Linked DNA regions of Saccharomyces cerevisiae S288C. The protein of the gene in region 1 interacts with the protein of each later gene in a pairwise test. Each region holds a gene or a part of one and is shown on either strand. Other genes may lie near its edges. The genes, in order: NOP4, NOP13 and TMA16.

What was found.
Region 2: the proteins of NOP4 (region 1) and NOP13 interact in binary tests that used the Saccharomyces cerevisiae proteins (3 or more experiments, as listed by UniProt).
Region 3: the proteins of NOP4 (region 1) and TMA16 interact in binary tests that used the Saccharomyces cerevisiae proteins (3 or more experiments, as listed by UniProt).

Annotation. Positions count from the first base shown.
Region 1 is NC_001148.4:467,939-474,335, reverse strand, and holds NOP4 (mRNA-binding ribosome biosynthesis protein NOP4), read right to left. Parts: upstream 4,398-6,397; coding exon 2,340-4,397; downstream 1-2,339. Other genes in the region: cyclin-dependent serine/threonine protein kinase SSN3, read left to right, coding at 1-1,296; tethering complex subunit VPS16, read right to left, coding at 4,680-6,397. UniProt on the Saccharomyces cerevisiae protein: Required for 60S ribosomal subunit synthesis. Probably involved in the processing of 27S rRNA to produce mature 25S rRNA.
Region 2 is NC_001146.8:304,216-310,612, forward strand, and holds NOP13 (Nop13p), read right to left. Parts: upstream 4,398-6,397; coding exon 3,186-4,397; downstream 1-3,185. Other genes in the region: mitochondrial 54S ribosomal protein uL22m MRPL22, read right to left, coding at 1-400; TDA7 (Tda7p), read right to left, coding at 855-2,765; MDG1 (Mdg1p), read right to left, coding at 4,742-5,842.
Region 3 is NC_001147.6:800,933-806,556, forward strand, and holds TMA16 (Tma16p), read left to right. Parts: upstream 1-2,734; coding exon 2,735-3,271; downstream 3,272-5,624. Other genes in the region: cleavage polyadenylation factor subunit CLP1, read right to left, coding at 38-1,375; TUM1 (thiosulfate sulfurtransferase), read right to left, coding at 1,618-2,532; peptide alpha-N-acetyltransferase subunit NAT5, read left to right, coding at 3,445-3,975; protein-transporting protein SEC63, read right to left, coding at 4,100-5,624.

The DNA.
Region 1 (6,397 bases):
TCAAGCTCTTCAATGGACATGCAGGCAAATACAAACGCATTAAGAAGAAACTTGTTAAAGGATGAAGGAGTGACCCCCGGAAGAATACGAACTACGAGGGAAGATGTATCCCCGCACTATAATTCCCAAAAACAAACCCTCATTAAAAAACCGCTGACGGTATTTTATGCCATTAAAAAGTTCAAGACAGAGAAGGATGGCGTCGAACAATTGCATTATACGGGAATATCTCAGAGTGCCTGTAGAGAAATGGCATTATGTCGAGAATTGCACAACAAGCATTTAACCACATTAGTGGAAATTTTTTTGGAAAGGAAATGTGTCCATATGGTATACGAATATGCGGAGCATGATCTGCTACAAATTATCCACTTCCATTCCCATCCCGAAAAAAGGATGATACCACCAAGAATGGTTCGGTCTATTATGTGGCAGCTTTTAGACGGCGTATCGTATCTTCATCAAAATTGGGTGCTTCATCGAGATTTGAAACCCGCAAATATAATGGTGACCATAGATGGATGTGTTAAAATTGGTGATTTAGGTTTGGCCAGAAAATTTCATAATATGCTGCAAACCCTCTATACTGGGGATAAAGTGGTTGTCACTATATGGTACCGTGCACCTGAGTTGCTATTGGGAGCACGGCACTATACCCCTGCGGTTGATTTATGGTCCGTTGGCTGCATTTTTGCAGAACTGATAGGATTACAGCCCATATTTAAAGGTGAAGAAGCTAAACTAGACTCTAAAAAGACTGTTCCATTTCAAGTGAATCAACTACAGAGAATTTTGGAAGTTCTTGGCACTCCCGATCAAAAAATTTGGCCTTATTTGGAGAAGTATCCAGAATATGATCAAATTACGAAGTTTCCAAAGTATAGGGATAACCTTGCTACATGGTATCATTCCGCGGGAGGAAGGGACAAGCATGCTTTAAGCTTACTTTACCACTTGTTAAATTATGATCCAATTAAAAGAATAGATGCATTTAATGCGTTGGAACATAAGTACTTCACAGAAAGTGATATTCCTGTTAGTGAAAATGTATTTGAAGGTCTAACTTACAAATACCCGGCAAGAAGAATTCACACGAACGATAATGACATCATGAATCTTGGATCAAGAACGAAAAACAATACACAAGCTTCAGGAATCACCGCAGGTGCCGCTGCAAATGCGTTAGGTGGGCTTGGTGTTAACCGTAGAATTCTGGCCGCGGCAGCAGCAGCCGCTGCTGCGGTGTCAGGAAACAATGCATCAGATGAGCCATCTCGAAAGAAAAACAGAAGATAGGCTTCTATTTTTATATATATTTGGAATTTTTCATTCCACAGCACTGTCACTATTATATTCATTAAACTTTTTTTTATCTTTATAGTATTTAAATCGGCATACAGTTTCAATTTTTCGCTTTAGAGGCACTAAGAATGCAAGTCTGCAACATTCAGGTAAAATAATGGGTTGATTTTAGGTCGAGCTAAAACCCTGTTCTCCGCAGATGTATGCGAATTTCGTCATAATTCATCTCAACTAATGGGGCTTTAAAACATATGAATATCTCATGCATTCCCAAAAAAGAAGAAAGAAAAGACTTCAAGTACCCCCCTTAATTTTTATATAATGGTAGTAGTAGGTTTGTTCGTAACTTATCGGCAATAGTAATATGTTCCCATTATAACACATCTGTTAATGGTATTCAGGTTAATAACCATAGCAAAAAATATAAACAACTTTGTACATTTTCCATAAAAAAGAATGACTTTACGAAAACATTGGATGAAACAACCAGTTCATCCCGTTCAAAGTCTAAACTACGTATAAAGTAGAGTTATCATCGGTTAACAAAGTACATTGTGTAGTATGTAGAAGGGCTGAAACCATCAAGAAAAGGAGGGACACGCTCATACAAAGGAGAAGTCATGAATTCTAAATGTATCTAATAAGATACGTGAATTCAGCATCACCTAGTTATTAATGACCAGCCGAACCTAAAAGTCATTGCACAAACAATGTAGAAACATAGCTAATTTTACATACTTTTATTTGCGGTCTACTTATAACCATTATGTATATCATGGGAAATAAATAATTCTCGTCTTGCCTATTACTTCAAACGGAACGTCTAGGAGCGATACTGGTAATAAGGTTTCAGTATGATTTACTGAGATGCTGGACAGTATATGTAGAGAGTTTCTCGCGCTTCTCGTAAAACAGTACTAAAATAACGACATAAAAGCTTTCGAGTACGTTAGAGATTCATCTATCTACTCTTTGAAAAATAATGTACATACGTAAAGAGAATACAAATCGAAATTCCTATAAATATGGTTCTACCTCTATTTTTTTGCGTGCTTTCTCTTACGCTTGAACCCGATTATTCTCTTTATATCATCGCCCATCTTTTTGTCATCGGGATTGGTGGGCGTCGTTGCTTCTTCTTTTTTTGGCTTCTTATTCTCGGATTCTCCGACATCTCCAGTATCTTCATTATCTGGTCTTGTTCTCTTGGTTCTTGCTTGCTTCAATTGTTCCCTTCTTCTCTTTACGACGTTAGAGTTCTCAATCGCAAATTCAACACAAAGACGTCTTCCTTTGCCTAAGTCATTGTCTACTTGTTTCTTTTCATCATCATTCAAACCCTCTAAAATTTCATCGGAGGTAACGGCATGACAATTCAACCACCTTAAGCCCATCAAAGCGTTTTTATGATCTCTGAATTCTACAAAACCGTAACCTCTACTTCTTCCCGCAGTTGATCCTTTAACTTCCATTATAACTTTTGCTTGCTTGACAACACCACTTTTTTTGTCTTTCTTTTTTTGAGCTTCAATCTCATCTGGACCCATGAACTTGTATTTTTCCTTTGTAGATCTGATAATCTCTTCTTTACTCAATGGATGTCTTTCCTTATTTTTAACTTCTGTAGCAAATTCCACGACAGCTTTACGAGCTAACGCCTTTAATGCTTTATCATTCATTGCTCTAGGAAGATTTCTGATAGCCAACCTAGTCATCGACAAATGCAAAGATGGGTTCTTTTTCAGTTGCTCCACTCTTAATTTGTAAGATTTTTCTCTGATCTCCATGTCAGTGTTGGTTAACAAATCAGCCATTTTTGAGCCTTCAACAACTCTACCTTCATTCAGCAAATATAAGTTACGTCTATCTTTTTCGCCTGGCGCTTTACCTAGGGCCTCCTTTCTTTTGGCGGCGTTCTTTTCTGCCATTCTTCCAGCATCCTCTCTTACTAACGTTGGAGTAATGGACAGAACACGACCTTCATACACATACTCAGGCATGACATCATCACCTATCAATAAAGAGGTAGAGCCAGCCGCAGGCGCATTTTTGATACACTCGTTATATGTATATTGGTCTTTGAAGGCTACAAAGGCCGTACCTTTAGCCAACCCCGTAGACTTATCGATAACAGGTAATGCGTATTTAACGCTGCCAAATTTACTGAAGTGCGGAGCCAAAGATTCTTCAGTGGCATCATAAGGGACGTTACGAACAAAAACAGAAAAATCTTCCCTTTTGTTTTGTGCTTTACGTTTCGATTCTTTGTTTTTTGAAGCTTGATCTACTTGTCTATCTTCCTCTTCATTTTCATCTTCTTCGTCGTCATGGTTTTCTTCAGCATCTTCATTTCCTGACTCGTTATCATCTTTGTCATTCATTTCTGGCTGGGCTTTTTTGTAATCTTCCCATCTGTTTTTTTGAACAGCAAAATCAACAGCCACCTTTCTACCATCAATTTTCAAGTCTTTGGTGTTTTCCAAAGCAATTCTACAATTACTGATTTTCTTCATAGTAACAAACGCAAATCCACACAATTTACCATCACGCTTCCTTGGAATGGTAGCCTCCACGACGGTACCATATCTACCAAAGATCTTTTTCAATTTAACTGGATCACGACAACTCCATGGCATATTTCTGATAATTAATTTCGGTTTACCTTTTAGCATGGAGTCTTCACCATCAGCATCGTCCTCATCTTCATTGTTCTGGCCCGTTATTTTCTCAGATGACTCAGGTGTGCTCTTTTCAACCACTTCTGATGTTTTCTTTGAACGATCTCTTCTTTTAGCAATGTCTACCCTCAAGATATGTCCGTTAAATTTGGTCTTTCTGGCCTTAGCTAGGGCTTCTTTTGTGTCATCCTCTACAGCAAAACTAACGAACCCGAAGCCCCTGGACCTTTTATTCGTGTCCTTAACAACTACCGCATGCTTGATCGGAGCAAAATTGGAAAAGAAATCTGCCAGCTGCTCATCTGTGACATCCTGGGGTATAGACCTCACAAACAAAGTCTTCATATCTAGGCCGTCGTCATTTTGTTTTGAGACATTACTAGAAGGCACTTCAACATTTTCTATTGTTTCTTCCATCTCACTTTGGTAGATTGGTAATATTGATAGCTTTTCACTAGTTCACGAAGAAATCTCACTATTTTACTAATAAAAAGATTTTGTATGTAGTATTTAATTCAGAATAAACGATGAGATGAGATAGACTCTTGAAATTTTTCAGTGAAAATTATTTTTTTTTTCCTTCGCCGTTCCATGGGTAACCCTATAGGGAGCCAACATATATAACCGCACAAACGTAATGGCAGCATTTAATTATTTGATATGCGGCTAGATATCCACAACGTCTATAAATTATGAGTTCTATATCCTGCTCATAGTTTCATTTGCTAATGCCTTTAATTCCGGCTCATTAGGTGGTATAATATTATATATCTCCTTTAAGCCTGGAATGTCTTTTTCCTTTCCTGCTAGTTGAATTGCATCACGAAAACCCCTGCACTCCACATAAAGCTTTTTCTTTTCCTGATACGAAAGGCCAGGTATCATATTAACATAAGGACTAGCTTTATCCATATGGCCTCTGCTTTTTAAGTATGTGTAGAAAGGCATGTAACCAATTGGTGATTTCCGCGACTGAGCAAACTGTAGTAGTTCGTCAAACTTCTTAGCTTCGACTAACGTTTTACATTTCAGGTGATACAGCTTTTTTTCGCTTATTTTGAACTTTTTAACTATTTCTTTCACCTGTTTATCTTGCCCTGTTTCTATTAACTTCGAAAGCGTTTGATCTAAAGTCATATTAGTGAATGATATAGCAAATCTTTTGCCTAATGATTCTTGGTATATCCACAACTTTTCCTGTCTTTGAAGTTGTTCTATTGTATTGTTGACCACTTCACTGTTTTGAACTTGGCTATAAAGGTCCTTAATTTGCGGTAAAAAGCTGTGTAAAGATTGCTGTTCTTTTCCCTGCTGCAGTAATACGTGAGCCAAGTCAATAAATCGGTCAGTTTGGCGGTAAAAATCGTACAAGTATGCTTTATCCATTCTCATATAATAGAGATATAAGGGATTGTTGAACATATCAATGATCAAAAGCTTCGTCAGTTGAGAGTTTGTCAGCTTTTTGGAAAGTGCAATCAGTAATGAAATTGTCAGACTGTAATTTTGTACTTTGATACACTCCTTTAGCGCTATACTATCATCATCAAGATTATACAGTTGCTCAATTCTAGCTTCTTCGTTTTTCTCTAATAAAGCTAAATTACGGGATAACTGGAACCTTCCTTCAAGATATGCAACTTTCGCAACTGCTACCATTTGTAATGTATCCGTCATATCTATAACACTTAGTCGAGATTTGATTTTGTCTAGTAACTCATCATCTTCCATGTCAGGACTACCCTTGATTTTATCCTTTGCCCACTCAGTAAACACGTATCCTAACAGAAATCGTTCATTGGCCAATTTGCATATCTGTATGCACTCATAATATCTGTGATACTTCAACAGCCTATCAATGACACCTTTCAAAGAAATACACCTGTATTCCTCCACAGTCAAAAAAATACCAAAACTTCTGAAGCAGTTTAATAATTTTATCGTATTACACGCATTCACAAATATACTAGCGTCAAATGACTTGTACTGCAAAGAAGCTTTTCCATAAGATGCAGCGTTCAACAACATCTTCTGTAGTTTAGGTTCAAATTCGTCTATTGCAGCAGCAATACAGTCCAGTACACCCTTCTCTAAGACAAAATTCTTTAATATTTCAATTGCTTTGGGTGCATGATCCTCCAGTAAACTAAATGAGTCAACAAGCATTGCACCAGGCTCGGTTGAGCCAATTCTAAATATATTAGAAGTCTGAGGTTGTACCCTGGATAGAAAGTAAATCTTTTCAGTGGTAATAACCTTCAACCCATCAACCTCTGCCCTTAGGTTAGTTACAGTAAAAGGGTACCAAAATGTTACATACAAACCATCTGGGCCGTATAATTTGATTTCGTCCTCGAAAGAACAAGCAACGGTATCATTGCCACACCAACATATATCATCTGGTGTAGAATCCAAGT
Region 2 (6,397 bases), on another chromosome or scaffold:
TCTTGTAAAACCCACCATTAATTTTACAATTAGCTTCATATATTTCCCTTTTCAAAGGAGATAATAAGCTCTGTGATGCTAATTGTTCCGGTTGCTGCAACGATATGATATGTTGCTGTAGTAGTTTATCGTTTTCTATGGTTATTGAATCCCTATTAACTTCAGGAGCCTCTCCAGAAGAATCAGAAGCAATCGCTAACCTATTAGAGAAGCTGCCTGCATCTTCATCCCCCCTGTTTTTTCCTTCCTTTGGTTTATTTTCTGTAATGCTTCCGAATAGTGATCCTCCTGAATTATTAAGACTTATTGGCGTTACATGAATCCAACGTCTACTTACAGAAGAAAGTAGAGCCCTAGAAATGACACCGACCTGAGATATTCTTGCCGTGTGGAAGTTCATTTTCTTTAATAAAAAAGATAGGGTGAGGTGAGGTTCTCTGACTTGCTATGCGGCTCCTAATGGCGTATGTTAAAATGCCTTCCAGATTGGATAGTTGACTTTTATTCAAAATCCCGAGTACAGTGAAGGCTTAGTTACCCCGCCCACAGAAGATTAATAGAATATCATGAGTACTGTTCAAGCAGCAAGCAGGAGAAAAGACTGAAAGAGTTTCGTATAATTTAGTATTTATTTATTTAGGAGAACTAAAATATTTTCTTTATACACAAAGAACAAAGTTTTCTTTTTTTTTCATTGCAGAATGGTATCATTGTTTTTTATGCCTTTTAAAAGGCCTTGTCGTTCTTCACTATTGGCAATAAAGATGTTTTTATGATTTTTAATAGTAGTGTTATTCAGCAAGAGCTGATTTTGCTTAATTAGTAAACATCATACTAATAGACTGAAGTCATCGTCATATAATTTCCCTCAAGAACCCTTGTGAATTGTTCTGAACTGTATTTCTCTCATCATGAGAGATGTCATTATCTAAACCACGTCCGAGTCGTATCGAATTTGAAGATAAAGTAGAAAAGCCACCTTGAGTAGATGAACCCAATGACGAATATGTAAATGAAGAGCCATAGGAAAATCTGTTTTCCTGGTCCATGAAATTACTCCGCATATTTTGAAAGGAGCCATTCATTGCGGTAACATTCCTTGGTGGTGGCACTGGAGGAGGATTTCCTCTTGCCTTAAAATTGAATTCGTTGCTGAACGGATTATTAGCAGAAGCAGTCTCGGTGTTTCGTTGCTGTGATCCCGAGTCTTGAGCTTGAAGTGACGCCTCTTTTGCTTGGGCAGTTGTTGGGAATCCCGTTCTGCGCCCAATCTCGTGACAGAAGGAATCGTTTTCCTTGAAATGCCTCTTTGCCTTCCTTTTTCTAACCAGCATGAACCAAACTACTAGTACACATATAAGAATACCACCGACGCTTCCTACCACACTTCCAACAATGGTACCAGTATTTGTCTTTGAAGTGCCTTGGTTTTTGTTATTATCCAAACTGCCATCAAGCCAGTGCTGATAGAAAGACATGTCAGCTGTGATCGTCGAAGATGGAGCGGAAAATGAGGTTACCTCACTTTTTGCAACTGCTATGGTCGTAGGTAATCCCGTCACGAACGTTGTAGAGGAGTCAGTAATATCATATGTTTGGGTATAGAAATAATAAATAGTTTTTGAATCTTCGGAGCTTGAAATGGCTACCGTATTGAAGACCTGACTGGATGTTGGTATGGGAGACGTAGAAATCGTACTAGTGCTGGGTGTTTGAGTGGTGGGTGGTATACTGCTGCTAGTAGTAGATTGTAAGGACTGAAAAGTATACGTGCTTGAGTAAGCACTTGTTGTATCATCTGATGATGATGATGATGAAGGACGGTTTGAAGGTACTTTACTGCTGGATGAGCTAACAGAACTTGACGTTGGCACGGAAATCGTGCTTATGGAAACTGTCGAAGATGAAGCTGATGGACTGAGTTTCGATGATTTGCTTATGGTTGAAAAATCGTTCGTCGATGAAAGCGATGAACTGTAAAACGATGTGGAAGTATTCCGACTGGAACTTGGGAATGTGGTATCTTTATTTGATATCGTAGAAGGAGAAGAAATTGTTGAGAACCAACTAGAAGAGAGTTCTGAAGTGGTACTAATTTGAAATGAAGTTGCAGATATGGAAGACAAGTATGTGTAACTAGGGGATATTACGGTGGGTGTTGATGGTGAGAAAATAGAAGATCTGCTGTCGAACGAAAACAATTTAGTGTCTGAATATGATGAAGATAGTGATAATGACAACGAGGACGATACCAGTAACGAAGATGGTGATGATAACGACGACCATGATGATGACAGCGATGTAGCTGATGACGATAACGTTGGTGTTGTTGATGTTAACGATGACCATTCCGACGTTATTGACGACGATGATGACATTGGTGACGTCGATGAGAAAATGGACATGGATGGTGTAATTATTGAGTATGAGGAGGTAGCTGGGTCATATTGGGAACTATACGTATCTTGCTCGCTCGATGAACTGCTGTCGGTAGATGATACTAAAGTACTTGTCGAAGATACATCAATGGATGTATGCAAAGTCTCATCATATGTTAAGCTTGTAGAATAATATGTAGGAGTAGCTGTACTAGACACGGGCGGTAATGAGGTCAGACTTCCTTGTTGGGGTACTAAAGTTGAAGTAGATGCGAAGACAACATCCGTTGATCGTGAATTCAGACTGCTACTTGGTTCACTGAATGACAGGGATATCGTATCAGATTCTCCAAGGGTGGTCCTTCCGATGGTACTATTGGAGTTCATACGATGGCCAAAATAATTACTCTATCCAGCTTTTCTTTTAGATTTCCTTCAGATATCGACGGATGGGGATTGAAATACTAAATGTGTGTCTTAAGCGAAAGTGTGCCAACAACCAGTCCAAAAAACGGATCAGTAGTGTTTCGGTACCTGGTGAGTAGTTTAGGATTTTATGAGTGTACGGCGATTATCAGTGTATTACTAATATGCGAACCGCTCCTAAAGATCTTGTTTACCTCATTTCTTTCTTCTTTTTTTTTTTTTTTTCCGTGCGTTCTCCCCGTGCCTTGATAAGCAATAATGGAAAAAATAAAAATAGCAGCAATTGGTTATACAATGTATATATAAAACATGAATGATTGAATAATTTACAAGCGAAATAATCGCATTATATACGTGGCACCTACAGTCAGTTCACGCTGATTAGTCAAACTTCACTTTCTTACCTTGTGATGGGACAATAGCTGCAGAACCTCTCTGAGCAGTGGCTAAAGCTACACTGCTCTTAGTTCGGTTATTGGAATCTACAGGTGGACGTCTGTTGGCGTTGGACCGCTTGTATTCGGGTTTGCTGCCGTTATCCTGTCCCGCACGATCGTATCCTTTGTTGTTAGAGATATCAAATGATGAGGAATTGTTTCTGGATACATTTTCAACCTTCTTACGAACTTGTCTTTTACTTCTATCTTCACCGTATTCCATTCGCAATGGCCTTCCGGCAATTTTTCTACAACTTTTATCCTTTAATGCATTAGTAGATCCTTCTTCATTCTTGAAGTCGATAAATGCGAATCCTTTACATTTACCACTATCTTCGAATGTTGCCATGCGGATTTTCACGATATCACCACAATGTTGGAAGTGTTTTCTTAACAGATCATCTGTGACATCGAATGACAAATTACCGACAAATAGAATCCTTGACGGTGGATTTTTGGACATGGCAACTAAATCGTCCTTGTCTGGCCTACCTGAATAATTTTCGGAGTCCTTGATTAGCATATTCCTTCCGTTTAAATGAGATTCAGATAATTCTAAGACCGCTTTCATCTGCTCGACGTTCTTGAAAAACATGTAGCAAAATCCCTTATTTTTCATGGCGTTAGAGTTCTTGGCAGCAACACGAGGCATGGATAACCTGGTTATGTCTTGTTCGGTGACTCTGCTCTTTTCATCTTCGTTGTCTTTTGTTTTAGCAATAAAAAATCTTACTAAATCGTCCTTTGTGGTGTCGAAGGATAAGTTACCAATCCAAACACCATATTTATTTTCATCTTTCTTCTTCTTTTTTACAACCTCGCCAGATTCATCTCCTGTTGGAGTGTTGATTGTAGATTCTTCACCCTGGGCGTCTTTCTCAGAAGCACCAGACTTTTTCTTTTCAGCATCTTCTTTGTATTCCTCGATTGACTTAGGGTCGATATTGTACTTCGCATTCAACTCCTCTAGAGTAACTTTACCTCTTCTCAAGAGACGTTTCTGTTTTTTTGATAGGGGAATGGAGCTTTTCAGGTCAATCTCAATTTCATCTTCAGCTTTTCTCTTTTTTGTTGGATCGAGTAAAGCCTTCTTGACTTGTTCCTCGTTATCCTTTTTTGTAACAGCATCTTCTTTCGACAGTTCTGTTTCTGACATTCTATCTCAAATTATAGAAAGTTGTTGGGTTTAGGTAATGTTCTGTGGGGAAAAGGATTTCTCTTTGTTGTATGGTTAAATTTATCATCTATGCTCATCGCAATTTTTTCTTTCAGACTGAAAAATTTCAGGTTTTTGCATTTCAACGGGAAACGTGACTCCTACAGAATTTTCTGAGCAAAGGCGTACAAGCGAAATACAAAGACAAGCATGTGCTTTCGGCAAAAGTGCGATCCTACATCAGAGTTTACATACAACATGGTATTGTTATTAATACATAATTAGGTTTTACATAGTTAGGTATGGCGAGTACGTCATATATTTAGGTATTCTCCTGATTGTTTTCACTTCAAAAGCTGGGCCAACTTTTTAAAGAACCCTCCATTCTTAGCAGGGTTCTTTTGGACACCTTTATTTGGTGTTTCTTTCGTGCCCTTAGGTTTCGAAGGTCTAGTAGCTTTCTTAGCTTCGATTTTTTTTGCGGCAGCGGTAGGAGCGCCCTGTTTCGTCTCGTAAGTTTGAGTCTCAGTCGCAACCTTGCCGGTTGGTTTCACAGAAGTCTCTTTAGCATGGCTTGTAATTGAGCTTACAGGTACTTTTTCTTCCGGTTTTTCAAATTTAGCGGATTTACTTAATGGTTCCTTATTTTGATCTTCTGAAGCTTCAGCGTCTGCACTTGTACTGGTGTCCTTACCGCCGCCTTTATCTTCGTCCTCTTCCTCTTCTTCCTTTTCAAGATCTTCGGCCGATAGTTCATATAATCTAGACTCAGAAGATTGCGTCTTACCCAAACCGTCCGTAACATATCCTTCACTCTTAACTAGATTAACTTTGGGGTGATTCTCTTCATACGGCTTGATTGCTTTTTCCTCGTTTACACCAACATTATTCTCAATTATCGTTGTAGTACCGCTTAAGCCATCCGCATTCTTGCCCGTTTTGTTCACCTGCTGGGTTTCATCCTCGCTATCGGGCAATTCAACCACTTCTTGGGAAAATATCGACCTTTCTCCGGTTTGTTTATTTGTCTTGATCACTCTCTTGATCTTGAACTTTCTTAATTTTTTTGCACGTTTTTCAGCTTCTGGTTCGATAAGAGGGGCATTCTTTGAAACAGCTAATCCGGCACTTTCAGGTACCAGCGTGCTAGAGCCATTTTCGCGTTGCTTTATTACGTCTTCCTCGGTAATAAAGTTGTTTTCCACTCCCTCGTCGATGTTCACCTTGTAGTCTTTGCTTGGCAGCCATTGGCCATCAACAATAAACTTGAAATAAAACTTGCTGCTAGGGCTATCAAACGTTACTGGCAGCGTTATTTCGAAGGCGCCACTGGGGTCCTTCACCATCGGCAAAGTACCTTTCCAGTCGTCGAACGTGCCTGTCAGAATAATTGCTTCGGGTCCTTTGGGCCATTTGAACGTAAATTGAGGTAAGCTCGATTGCATTCTAGAAACACTTTCCCTTTAATATTATCTTATAATGCTTAGAAAGTTAAATACCATCAAGAGAAAGAAAATTAGGTAATACAGAGGACAGAAGGACAGAAGTCGTTTCTATATTACATAAAAATCGGCCACCTTTTATTTTTTTAAACCACAAGAGAGGGGGAGAATGATGGATGTAAAACCTTAACCATGTCAATGCAAGGGCTCCCGCCCCAAAAGTTCCTATCGGGCCCCTTCGCTTCGCTGCCCCAGATATTTGCGGAAAAGGCCAGCCTCGCAGTATTTCACCAATGCCCTTACTTTGATAGTATGTATTTTGACTACTTTTTTTCATTTTTATCGCTTCTTTTTACTTTGTGCGGTGTAAACCCTACACAAAATAGGGCTTTCATTTAGTATTTACATTTGCACAAAAGTAGAGAAGATACGTAATAGTCATTGAAAGCATCGACATTTTTGGTGCTTGCTGACAAATTCACGGTGACAAAGTGAGCTAGAATATTGCTTATCGATAATCAGTGTGTTATAGCAGCGTTTTAATCTGTTTTTCCTTTC
Region 3 (5,624 bases), on another chromosome or scaffold:
TGGATTTGATATAAGGCTCTTGAACAGATAATTTTACTTACTCTAAATATCTATATGAAGTTAGAATCATCGCCTTGCTGGGAAGTCGGCCTGGGACAGGTAGTAAAACCCTTAATTTACGCCTTTTTTCATTAACTTCTGTAATCAAAGCGAATCCTAAAATAGGCGATTTTATTACTGTTGCCTGATCTGCCCTTCTTTCTGCGAACGTTATGGCTATAATAGCGTGCTGTAGGTTACTTGGAGTTATAGTGACGGGGAACAGTTCCACCCTACCGACCTCGTTATCGAAAACATTGCTAGGTTTCCAAATAGTTAAATCCTCATAATCAACACCAATAGCATAAGGACTCAAGGCTGTATCAAGAGAGCCGTAAAAGTACTCTCTTATGGATGTCCTCTGCAAGGATCTTTTGTATACATCATCAACTGCGGATACACCATCCAATTTAGGAATGAAAAAAATATTATTATTTCCCAATTCTGGACCAAATGTCTTTTTTACTTTCTCCCAAAGAGGATCCGTTTCAGAACATAGTACTAGCATAATGTTAACATTGAGTTTCTCAATGATATGGTGCAGTTCAGCCAAATTTTCATCCAGTTGTGATATTGATGGCGTATCGACAATGCACCCTGATCTCCTGACTTGAGGATCCAAATGTAACCTTTGACCTACTACTTGACCTAACTGGCTTATACACTCAAGGTATAGATCTTTGTTCTCATTAATCCTTTCCAGGCCAAAATTTTTCACCATTGGCTGCTTATTATGTAGTAGTGTGGCACCACTAGTGAGACTCTGACCCCAAGTGGGTAGTTGTGCATCAAGTATATCTGATATTGGGGTGGCAGATATGCATCCAGGAACAGTAAAAATGGGCTGTTGAGGGTCAAGATTGATGTATAGTGGTTGGTAAGCGTTGAATTTCAAAGCGTAAGAACATAGTGTCCTCGATAGGGAAGTCTTCCCGGTTTGCGAACCACCAACAATCACCACTCGAGGGCCTTCAAAGTTAGACATTCGTATCTTCTCCAACATGAAGTGTAGATTATAAATATATTTCATAGTATGGTTAGGCTTGACAGTTATTGTATTCGTAGTTAAATCAGGACATTTCCATAATAATTCTGTTTCTTCGACAGCGTATATGGGAAACTTCCAGTTCTGAAAAGTGTACTCATCATCTACTGCCAACTCGGTGCCAAATATCTCAACTATGCCCGAGTTTACCTTGACTATCAGTTTTCCCTCTGCTTTAAGATCAATTTGCCAATCACTGCCCTTGGGAATAACCAACTTGTGCCATTCGTTATCACCAGTTATCAATTCTTCAGAGGTAGTATGCTCATCAATACCAGGTAGACTTGCCATGATGGTTTAATCGTGTTGGAATTTCGAAAAGAATTAATAGTTTGTTCTTTTCCCTCGATAGAAAGGTCTCTGCTCATTTTTGCCAGCAGTCTTATTTTTTGCTGTTATTTTCTATTTTACCGGGCAATAACAATGAAGAGCACAAATAAGACAAAGAAAGGGAGATCGCCCTTTAAGTAAGTAGATAGATAATTAATATATGTAGCTAAATAAATCGACTTGTCAAGAATATATTTCTCTTATTAATCTCTGTTTTCAGCAATCCACTCGGGCCCGGATTTCAAGACCCACTCGGTCCAGGATCCATCATATAATCTAACATTGGGAACTCCTGCTAGCTCCAATGCTGTCTTGATAATGACTCCTGAAACGCCAGTTCCACAAGAGCAAATAGTTGGTTTACTTGGGTCCAAAGTGCAATGAAAGTCTTTCAATGCCTTTTCCAAAGTAGCGTGTATCGCCTCCCCAGCTTCTGGGTACGTTTTGGTCTCCGGATCAAGTAAACTTCCATATGGTAATGGTTGGGTACCTGGAATATGCCCCGATGGAATGTCGGAACGAGGCTCTGGTTCTGTACCTTCGAATCTACCGAGCGACCTTGCATCGAAAGCATTGAATTTCTTAGCCAGTTCCCCACTCTTTACCAATTGGAACATTTCCTCATAGTCTACAATCTCCTTGTCTTGGAAACTTTCTGAGGACTCATAATGACTCTTTGGATAGGGTGAAAACGCTGCCACCTTAGAGGAATCTAGAGGGTACTTAAACTCTCTGTACTGGTTGAAATTATTTAGTAAGTACACCTTAGGATGTCCCATCACTCCTAATGTCCAAGCACATCTAGGGGAGCTAAAGTTACCAACACGATCGTAAACCACTAATATATCATCTTTTTGAACTCCTAAATTACTCATAGCGTCGTCAAAAACCTTCTTTGTAGGGAACATATGTGGATAGGGCGATTTTTTGTCACTGATTGCATCAATATCAAAGAAAATGGAGTTTGGTATACGTGGTTTGGTCAAGAAATCCACTTTATTATCAAGCTTCCAACTGGGTAGGTACCATGTTGCATCAACTGGAACGATTCTATGAACCTTCTCACTGGCCACTAACTTAACAAACGCTTTTGGAGAAATAAGATCAAATAATGGCATTGAATGTATGGGCAATTTTCTTCACAACTTTATGCTTTTGTCCTCATTGTTTGAATGCACTTACGCTGTATTATTGTACACAGCTGAACATCCCGAGCGAAAATTTTAAAATGGTTTAATAGACGAGATGAGAGATGAGCTCTTTAAAGGTACTTTCTAAGAAGAAAAGTATCGGAACAGGACTTACCACGACAAACTAATCATGCCGGTTACTAAATCTTTATCTAAGTTGCAAAAGAACTTATCCAAGAAAGGGAAAAATATCACGGTTCATCCGAAGGGTAGAAAGTATGAAAAGCTGGTCAGGGCTACTATGCGTGAAGATAAAATCGCAGCCAAAAAGAAGCTTCATCAAGACAAAAGAGTCCACGAACTAGCTCGGGTAAAATTTATGCAGGATGTAGTTAACTCTGATACATTCAAAGGGCAACCAATATTTGATCACGCCCACACAAGAGAGTTTATTCAAAGTTTTATTGAAAGAGATGATACGGAATTAGACGAACTCAAGAAGAAGAGGAGGTCAAACAGGCCACCAAGCAATAGACAAGTGCTACTGCAACAAAGGAGGGATCAAGAGTTAAAAGAATTTAAGGCGGGGTTTCTCTGTCCAGACTTGAGTGATGCGAAGAATATGGAATTTCTAAGAAACTGGAATGGCACTTTTGGCCTTTTGAATACTCTAAGATTGATCAGAATTAATGATAAAGGTGAACAAGTCGTTGGAGGAAATGAATAAGAAGTGTCGCAGAGGAATCTTTATGGTTTATATGCTCTTTATATAATTTTATGTATATTATAGTAGAAAAAGCAAAGAAAAAAAAGAAAATTGATATTATTAGCGAAGCTTTTTCACAAATTAATCCGTAACAAACAAATTGGCAAAGACAATTGAAGGGAGTAGTGCGAAATATGGGCCGTGATATATGCACATTAGACAATGTTTACGCTAACAATTTGGGCATGCTAACCAAACTAGCTCATGTGACAGTACCAAACTTATATCAAGATGCCTTCTTCAGTGCATTATTCGCTGAGGATAGCTTAGTTGCAAAAAATAAAAAGCCATCTTCGAAGAAGGATGTACATTTCACACAGATGGCTTATTACAGTGAAATACCAGTGGGTGGTTTGGTTGCTAAATTAGTTCCTAAAAAACAAAACGAACTATCTCTCAAGGGCATTCAAATCGAATTTTTGGGCGTGTTGCCTAATTATAGGCACAAATCCATCGGTTCAAAATTACTGAAGTTTGCAGAAGACAAATGCTCAGAATGTCATCAACATAACGTGTTTGTCTATTTACCAGCAGTGGATGATCTTACAAAGCAATGGTTTATAGCTCATGGCTTCGAACAAGTGGGCGAAACTGTCAACAATTTCATAAAAGGTGTAAATGGCGACGAACAAGATGCTATCTTATTGAAAAAACACATTTCTTAACAGATGGCTGAAAAATTTTTTTTTTTTTTTTGGTTTTGCTTTGTATACACATGTATCTATTTTTATAAAGATGAAATATATACGTCTAAGAGCTAAAATGAAAAACTATACTAATCACTTATATCTATTCTGGTGATTCATCATCTTCAGCTTCTGTATCCGTATCGATATCAGTATAATCGCTAGCATCACTTTCATCATCACTTTCGGTTTCGTCGTCATCAGTAGAGTACTCATCATCCTCCTCAGAATACACCTCTACTTGTTCCACTGCAGGAGAATCACGAACTTTCATATTCATGGTAATATCCAAATCTGTAGTGAAATAATCTGTGGATTTAACGATTACTCTAAAAAAGAAATCACCAACAGTTTCAGGTGCAGGCTGACCTAATGGAATTTTTATGGTCCCGATTTCCCAATCATTTATATCGAATTTTTCGTGTTTGGTTAAATCCATTTTTATCCTCTTATCAAAGAAATCTTTGTCATCGTTCAAGTTCTTGTAAGATAGCTTTTCAATGATAATTGGCGTTTGAAGTATTTTACCATCTTTTTGAGAACTTACCAGACAGCACCAACTCCCACGTCTCTTTGTAGGGAAAAATGGTGCAAAGGAATATGGGACGAGTGGCTGTTTACTCATCATAGCAAATGGATCTCTTTGAGATTCAAAATCTTGAGGTTCTGTTAAATTTTCTTCAGGAATTAAGCTAGTTGGTATCAATGGCTGTTTAGCAGAACGAACCAGTACTTTCAAAGAAATGTATGGGGTAGATGATGGTGTTACTTGGTTCTCACCTGGGACAAGGAAGTCTGCCTTGATGATCTTTAGATTTGGAATATGCGATGCAACTCTCAAAGTTTCGTTTAACTTTGCTTGATCCTTTATTCCAAGAACCTCACCAATCTTGGCATCTTCTAAAGTAAACAATTTACCTAATGTATGAATATCTCCGGTTTTGGTAATAAAGTGCTCTTTATCTACGTTCGGCAATTGAAGGATTTGACAGTTTGGTGTTAATGGTACAGCCTGAACAATACACTTGAAAGTATTGATTGCACCCAATGCAATATCTAAATTTCTGAATCCACAAGCAATATCCAATAAACCGTGTAACAAAGAGTGACATTTGGCCACTATTCTAAATTTCGCATTGTTAAGTTTACCACTATCTCTGCGGTTAATATGATCTTGCAAAAGTTTTTCAAAATCCGTTGGTTGCAAATCCGGGAAGAATTGTTTAAATTCATGAGCAAATGATAACCAGTGTAAGATCAAATCTGTGGTGACAATCTCAGATGGCTTGTAATTGACTAAGTTACTAACAAAATTAGAAGCCGTCACATTATGTATTCCCTTCTTAGTATACGATTGTGTTCTTGCCCACCATCTACTAACAAAATATGGCAAGATTAAACCTAGTAGCGCAACATAACAAACCACTAATAATGGAGATGCACTTCCATCTACCAAAAATCTTGGTAGAGCGATACCATGTGAAGTAGATTGTGGGCCATCTGGATGACCGTATTTCAAATAGTTTTGCCTAACCAATTCGTCAGTAAGGGATTCGTAAGCCTTCGTAATCTGAACATAAGTTTCTTCCATCACACTTTTCTCATCAGGTGTTAGGCCCTTTGCTAAT